2 linked regions of the Oryctolagus cuniculus genome follow. The protein of the gene in region 1 purifies or fractionates together with the protein of each later gene. This does not show direct contact. Links are inferred from orthologs where the notes say so. Each region holds a gene or a part of one and is shown on either strand. Other genes may lie near its edges.

Region 1 (3,945 bases):
AACCAGCAAATGGAAGACCTCTCTCTGTCTCTGTCTCTCGCTCTCTTTCTCTGTAACTCTCTGCCTGTCAAATAATTAAATAAATATTTTTTAAAAAGAAGTGGAAATAAAAATAGTTAATTGATTTTGTGCAGTGTTTCTACCATCCTAGTAAAAAATAAATACATACTTGTGTATAAGCTACAAAATATAAAATATAGGGGCCAGGGCTGTGGCATAGTGGGTAAAAGTTACTGCCTGTGCTGCTGGTATCTCATATGGGTACCAGTTCTAATCGCACCTGCTCCATTTCCCATCCAGCTCTCTGCTATGGCCTGGCCCTCCCAGGCACATTAGCAGGGAGCTGGATGGGAAGTGGAACAGCTGGGACTCAGCCGACACCCATATGGGATGCCAGTGTGCAGATGGTGGCTTTACCCACTACACCACAGTGCTGGCCCCATGCAGCTATCTTTTGAAGGCCAGGAGTTCTAGGACCTAAATATTTGTTGATTTAATGAATTAATATAAACTTTCGTAACCACAAGTACCAAGAAGTGACCGGATAAGGATTTTGGAGACCTAATAAAATCTATTTCTTCTATTATGAATAGCAACTATTGAATAATGGTATATAAATGTATATATAAAGTATTCATTATATATATATACACTTATTTGTATACATACACATACATACATATATACATATGTCTGTCTATATCGATAGAGCGAGAGTGAGAATGACAGAGCCAGAGAGAGAAATGCCATGCTTTGCTTTCCTCAAGGAGTCTCTCATTTTGGATAACACCTAAGATTTCTGGACTATTTATACATGGACAAATGTATTTGTGGTTTATGAATATCATTTTTTTCAGATTTATATACTTTACAAACTGAACTTTTTCTACGCGTCTACAACTAAATGACTATTAATTTAGCCTTGAGTTTCTATTCGTGACATAGGTCTGGGGGCTGAAAAACAAAAACAAAATACTGACGTCAAAGAAAAGTGAATGAGTTTCTCCCATGAAAATGACAAAAGCGGAAAAGGTGTCGAGAGATCCGAAATGGAAACGATGGAGTTAAAGACGTCGATGAAAACCGGGAGTGCTGGGATAGGAGGGGATGATATTGATTCGCGACGGCCAGGAAGTCAAATGTCAGTGCAGGATTTGAACTGCAGGGGCAATCAGGGGCTGCCGTGATGGGGAAGGGAGGGTGGGGGAGAGAGCTGGTATCCGGGGAAGCAGCAGAGAGGAAGAGGCAGGCAGTTTCCATACTAGGTGCTGACATCTCCGGCAAGCAGAAAAAGGCGCACACGGAGAGGTGAGAGACAATGCTGGGTGTGTTTGGGGTCAGATTCAAGCAGGTTGCTGTGCACGGCCGCCGGTCAAAGTGGTAACGGGGGATCTGAGCTCGGCAGTGACGCGCGGCCCTCACGTGACCAGGAGCCTGTGTCTGCCAAGTCCCTCTCGTCCTGGTCCTTTCTGCCTGTCCAGACACCGTCTTAGTACCCTTTGGTCGAGAGGGAAAGCAGAAGGAAGTAAGTTCTCTCGATCCTCTCCAATCGGCGGTCGGTGCTGCCTTGGATCCCCGGAATCAGTTAGGGATGGCAGCGCCCAGGCCTCTTCCCTCTGCTCCAGCCCCGCCCCCGCGCCCACATTTTGGTGCAGAAAATGGTGGTCTTGAGGGGGTGGGGTAGGAAGGTGACGGAGAGCCCGCCTGGGAGGAAGGTATAGACCCTTGGAAATCGTTTTCTAAGTAACCGCTTGCTTCCATTTCCCGCCCGAGAAAAAATGACAAGCTTTGTGAGGTGGGGGCGCGGAGAACGAAGCGGGATAGAGGGTGTCTGGGAGGGGAGGAGAGCCTGAAGGGGGCTGGCATGGGGGCGGCGGCTGGCGCCCAGAACTGGGGGTGTGTGTCGCTCAGGCTGTCCCTCCTCCCCGCCCCCAACCCTGTGTGGCGTCTGTTTGCGGGGCACTGAGGGGGCACCTCGAGGAGGGTGCGTCTAGGAGCATACGTCCCTGAAAGGTCCATGTCCGTGAAGGGCTGGGCAGCGGGCCGGGGCCGCGGTGCCAGGGCGCCAGGGCGCCAGGGCGATCGCCAAACGCAACGGCCTCTGAGGTCCCCGCTGTCCCGCCCCTCTCACTGCGGGAGCGGCCTGTGGCAAGGCCTGCTGGGAAAATGGTGGGCTTGCGGGAAGGAAGGGCGGCCGAGAAGCGCGCGTGTGAGGACCTGGCCCCCAGTCAGGGCGAGGCCGGTATTGCAGCCCTGGCTGGGGTGTTGCTGCTGCCCCAAGGATCCTGACACTGCCCTGCTTTGCTTGTCTCCTAAGAATAACCGCTCGGATCAGAATATTCTCAGCATGGAAAATCCATGCCAAGAAAATGAAGAACAGCCGCGGAGCGCGCCGAGGCCCGACGAGGAGGAGCCTCCAGTGGAGCAAGCTCCCGAGAAGCAGGGGCCTGAGGAGGAGCCCTCTTCGGAGGAGCAATCCTCGGAGGAGGAGTTCTTCCCCGAGGAGCTGCTGCCCGAGCTCCTGCCCGAGATGCTGTTGTGTGCGGAGCGCCCCCGGCAGGAACGCCTTTCCAGCAAGGACCTGTTTGAGGAGCGCCCTCCCATGGAGCAGCCTCCTTGTGGAGTAGGCAAACATAAGCTCGAAGAGGGAAGTTTCAAAGAAAGGCTGGCCCGCTCTCGCCCGCAGTTTAGAGGGGACATTCATGGCAGAAACTTAAGCAATGAGGAGATGATACAAGCAGCCGATGAGATGGAAGAGATGAAAAGAGTGAGAAACAAACTGATGATAATGCATTGGAAGGCGAAACGCAGCCGTCCTTATCCAATTTAATGTATTCTGTCTTTAATTCTGTTTTGCCTGGAAACAGTGTTGCCACCGGAACTTTCTGTCTGCATTTTCTTACATGTCTTTTTCCCCATCTTCCTAATTTTAACTTTTTTTTCTTTTTTGACGCAGCTTTAATTTAGGTGCTTGGCTCCTAACTGGCATAAAATTGTTGTTGCTTTTTTTTTTCCTCCCTGAGATCTGAGCTCCATCTATTTGCATGGAAAGATGTACATGACATATTGTGAAGTGAAAAAAGCAATTTTCAAGAGTTATATATAATATCCATTTTTGTAAAAAAGTCCTGTATATTTATATATTAATATGCAAAGAGAAAATGAAAAGTATGGACTTCAAAAGCTTACCATGGCCATCTGTGTGGTGAGATAAGTGATTTTAATTTTTAAATGTGTTGATCTATCTGAATCTCATTTTTTTTCCAAATGAACACATTCTGCTTGTGTCACAGAAAAAGAAAAACCAGTATAATGAAAAGTGAAGCTATTTTGAAAATTACCTAATCAGCTCATAATGACAATGTGGCACTTAATAAATACTTGTTGGAATTTTAAAAGAGCAAAAGTGAATGCTATGTTTTCTCTGACTCTCTTAGTCAAAAATATAAACCAAAACATTAATATATTTCTTCCATCTAATACCTTCCTTATAGTGCTGCTGCAGAAACAAATGAGATTTGAAAAAAATGTGTGAACTGTCTTTTATTCTGCCATCTACACATGCAGGACCCCAACCCCTATACATTCTGTACAAACTTAGGGGATCATACCCAAGGAGATCTCACTTGTGTTTAGCAACCGTTCCCGTGGTGACATTCCAGACCAGAGCCACATTCTGGTCCTGCCCTGCTGTACTCAGATCTAGCCACACCTGCTAGACCCAGCTGCTCCTCTCACTGGCCCTGGTCACTGGGGACGTGCTGCAGTCCTCGAGGTGTGAAGCCTCACTGTTCTGCACTGTGTGATGGGCCACCGTTGAACTGGGTCTCTACAGATATACAGTAAATGTCCCCCTTACAGCTTTAATACTATAGTTATCCAGCCAGGCACCGACCGTGCCATTGCTGCTTAGACCTCTATGTCTCTAAACAACACTTAGAAACA
Region 2 (4,282 bases), on another chromosome or scaffold:
GATTGAAATCTGGTACACAAAGTTCACTTTCTGTAGGAAAGTTACTAGCCTAAAGCAAATAGGTTGGCTATCCTTGCACAATGTATTATCTTTATAAACATCACAACCTGAGTTGGTAGAATGAGTGGAAGGAGGAGAAAAGCCAAATCTCAAAGCTTCCAAGAGTCCTTTTGTAGCATGGCTTTTGATGATAAGCATTATGGAGTGTAACTTCTTGGTTAGAACACAGGCTATGGAGCCAGCACTATGGCATAGCAGGTAAAGCCACCACCTGTGGTGCCAGCATCTCATATGGGCACTGGTTTGAGTCCCAGCTGCTCCACTTCTTCTGATCCAGCTCCCTGCTGATGTGCCTGGGAAAGCAGTGGAAGATGGCCCAAGTGCTTGGGCCTCTGCACTCACGTGGGAGACCCCAAAGAAGCTTCTGGCTTCAGATCGGCCCCAGCTCCTGTCATTGCAGTCATCTGGGGAGTGAACCAGCAGGAGGAAGATCTCTCTGTCTCTCCCTCTCTCTGGAACTCTTTCAAATGAATAAATAAATCCTTTAAAAAAATGTATTAAAGAACACAGGCTATGTCAACTCCCAGGTATGTGACCATGGACAAGATCCTTCCCCAAGCATGATGCACTGCTCTGTAAAATGGGGCAACATCAGTGCCTACTGCCAAAGCACTGCTCCAAGAATGAAGCAGTCACCACTTGACAGCACGCTGGGCACGACGCCTAGCACGTGGCCAAACACTCACGGGTCACACCTACTTCTCAACATGACAGGGCACACAACGGAAACTCAACAACACACCTACAGCCACGCAGCCCTTTGCAGACTAATGGTGGTGTGGGAACGCACTGGCACCCTGAAAACACCAGAAGTGGCAATGTCTCAGAAATCGACCCACGCTCAGCACCAACACTAAAACCTGCTTCCTTCATCGGGAGCACAGTTCTCCAGGAGGAGCCAGGCCAGACACAGAACCACGCGCGTTACTCAGGGTGGAGAGAGCTTCGGTCCCCATAAGCTTCCCTCAAGTTACCACCACTTCGGAGTCTTTGTTAGGGATCTTTTTTCAGTTATTTTTGCACAAAGGAGTCTTTGTTGGTACAATGGCTTTCCCACTGGTTGTTCCCAGACAATCCTTTCACACCAACACTTCTATTAGAGAGTCCAATCAGGATTCATCCCACTTTGGAAAAAAAAAAAAAAAGCCCGACAAAGGTTCCAAGTGTCATTCTGATTTTACAAATCACTGTCCACACTTGTTCCCATTCCCCTCCCTCCTCCCTTCCCCCCAGCGCCAGGAGTGGAAGCCATTCCTCCAGGACACCATATAAGGGGCGGCTCCACCCCGGGCCTCCTTATATGGTCACATCCCACACCCACCCACAGGCTCATCACACACAACCAGGAACCCACTCCTGCCTGACCCACCGTACAGGGACACAAACGCACCCCACGGGCCAGGCTCAACTAAGCTCCTCCCTCCCTCCACGATCACACACTATTAACAGGTCTGCAGGTGAGAGACGGGGAGAGAGAGGGAGAGAGAGGGAGAGATGGAGATGGGGGGAGAGAAAAGTTGGAGGAGGAAATCCAGCGCGCACACACACAAACCCACGTGAAAGCACTTCCAATCACGAACCCTCGATCCGGAACGACTCCCGACGTCAGCCACCCGCCCGAGGACCCTCCCTCCCCTCGGCCAGCCCCGAGGGGCGCAGCGCCGGCGTTAATGAGGCGTGTCTCAACCACCCTCGGCCCACGATCACACGCGCGCAGCCAGAACTCCGGGGCCGAGCGCACCTCACTCCACGCAGCCACCGCGAAGACCCTCAGGGTCTGCTTGACCGCCCCCTCCCATCGGAGGCCAACTTTCGGGCCGCCGGGTGCAGGAGCGGGCTGGCGGCGGCGTTGCCACGGCAACCGCGGACCGTCCGGCCGCCGGCTTTACCTTCAGGTCCTTCTTGGTCACGTCGGTGTGCGAGACAGCGCGAATGGTCCCGGACAGCCAGGGCCACTCGGCGACGCGCTCCACGTCCCAGCTGTCGGGGCCGCCCTCGCTGCCCTCGGCCGCGGACAGGCTGAGGAATCGCTTCCCCACCAAGACCGGCCAACTTTCTCCGAGCGTGAGCACCATGGTTTCCACGCCTGCAGGAAGGGCGCCTCCCTGCACACACACAAAAAAATACACATATACACACACACACACACAAAATGCAGCGGGGGCGGCCTGGGAGAGTCGGGGGCGCGGGGCAGCCGTCCCAACCCCGCGCCGGGGACGCGCGACCCCGGGCGGGCCTCGCAACCGACCCCTCCTCCGCCAGCGCCTCCCTGCCCCCCGCCCCGCTGCCACCCCCACCGCACACCCCGGCCCAGGCGCCGCGTGACCCTCGCTCTCCCAAGTTTCGCTTTTCCAAAAAGCCTCCAGCCTAAACGCAGGGGGAGCACCGGGAGAATTATCTGCGGCTCGGCGGCTATTCAGCCGCTGGTCCCCGAGCCCGGAAGAGGTGAGGAGGCCCCCTAGTGCAGAGGGCCTCTCCCCGCAGCGGGGTCCCCGCCCCGGGCGGCCCGCGAAGCCGCACTTGTCCCGCCGCCCCGCCCCGGCTTCCCGGCCTCGCCCGGGCCTGCAACGCGGCCGCTGGACCCGCGGGGCCGCGGCCCGGCGCCTTCACCTTTTCTCCCTTCTCTCCCCGCAGCCGAGGCCGCGGCGCGCTTACCCCGCCTCCCGCCTCCCTGAGTCACCGGCGGCGGCCGCCGTTTCCAGCCGCCCAGCCGACTCTCGCTCTGACTTGGTTCAAGAGCTCTCACAAGACACGCACAGCCTCTCGGGCCCGCCCCCGCGGAGCCGCTGCCGCCGCTCATTGGCGGAGGCCTGGGAGCTGGGCGGGGCTCCTAGGGAGACGGCCCATCGCCATTGGCCAGCCCGACGGGGGCGGGGCGAGAGAAAAAAACAATTCCTTGGCTGCCTCCTCCCTCTCCCCTCCCCCTTCCGACTCTCGGGCGACCCCCATTAGGTTAAAGTACACAGAGTAAGCGAGAGATCCCTCCGCCACAGGGCCATTCTTTCCATTTGTTGCCTCGCGGCACGCAAAAGAGTCCCGCAAAATCGGGCATCAACTTTGGGGCCCGGAGGAAAATTGTTGTGGCGCACAAATAAGACTGAACGGCCAGGCTCAGGGCTGTAAATGCCTATTGGATTGCTCAAGTGCGCAGGCTGTCGACCGAAAATGGACCTTCCACTTGGCGGAAGAATCTCACAGGAAAGGGCTGAGGGCGGTGCAGCGTCGGCGGGGGAGGGAAGGGAAGGGAACGTGCGGTTTCAGGCGTACTCAGCTGGAGGGCGGAGCCACAGTGCTCGGGAGGCTGGTGCGCAGGCGCCTCTCGGAGCCGAAGCTGGAGCGGGGGCTGCTGGGTGAAATGGCCGCGGGAGGCGCAGGCGCACGTGGTGCTGATCGTGGAACGTCCAAAGGCCGCCATTTTGAAGCTAAATGAAGCAAGGCGTGGAGCCTAAGGGAAATGACGTTCGTTGAATCTGGAGGAAAAGAGGTAGTTCAGCACAACGCAGAATGGAGGCTTTTTAATGTGAGGAGAAGATGAGAAGATTTTCTGAGGCTTACAAAACAATGGAAAGTGAATGGAGGCCATAGTTACACAAGATATGAAAGTGGAAGTGAATTTGAAGGACAAAGGAGATTAAAAATGTGCTTTGACTCTGGAGTTTCTTCTCTAGTGGAGAAGAAAAAATAAAGAAATTGAAGACCTTTTTATAAAGGCTGATGCTTTAAGTGACATCACATTTAATCTTTAAGAGAATGAATGGAAAACCAATGCTCCCCATTACAGTGGTGAATCAGAAAACGTTCATAAATGTATTTAAGAAATCGGATGCAAAGTAATTCCAGGTGTTGTTTTAAATACGTATGTTCTTTATGTGCGACCTTTGAGTTTTTCAAGTTAAGAATAACAGTGATTAAAATGAATTTTGAAAATTTGGGTGATAGAAGAGTGGAACAAAGAAAATGTAGTCCAATAAAAGGCAAAAGAGAAGAGCAAAAGAAACAACAAATGCTTCTCTCGGTAGGGTGATATCCTGATAAATTCATCATAGTTTGAAAATATAACTGGAAAATGTGCTAAATACAGCAGACCTAACCCATAAACATTACTTAAGGGGATTCTCTAGACTGTAGAGAATCAGTTGTTTACCTTCATGATCTCATGACTGACGGGGAGATGCTGTTGATGCCCCACATCACAGGGAAGTATCATACCAAATATAGCTAA

Evidence for each region. The genes of interacting proteins can lie anywhere in the genome.
Region 2: the proteins of TCEAL1 (region 1) and KDM3A purify together in Homo sapiens (affinity purification with mass spectrometry; 3 studies listed by BioGRID and IntAct, counting the BioPlex papers as one, with this or other methods). This does not show direct contact. The link is inferred for Oryctolagus cuniculus from reciprocal best matches to the Homo sapiens genes TCEAL1 and KDM3A.

Annotation. Positions count from the first base shown.
Region 1 is NC_091453.1:89,818,172-89,822,116, reverse strand, and holds TCEAL1 (transcription elongation factor A protein-like 1), read left to right. Parts: upstream 1-1,456; 5' UTR 1,457-1,658; coding exon 1,659-1,715; intron 1,716-2,317; coding exon 2,318-2,830; 3' UTR 2,831-3,406; downstream 3,407-3,945.
Region 2 is NC_091433.1:116,320,352-116,324,633, forward strand, and holds the start of KDM3A (lysine-specific demethylase 3A), read right to left. Parts: upstream 2,837-4,282; 5' UTR 2,716-2,836; exon of another isoform or gene 2,671-2,715; intron 2,166-2,670; 5' UTR 2,136-2,165; coding exon 1,950-2,135; intron 1-1,949. UniProt on the Homo sapiens protein: Histone demethylase that specifically demethylates 'Lys-9' of histone H3, thereby playing a central role in histone code.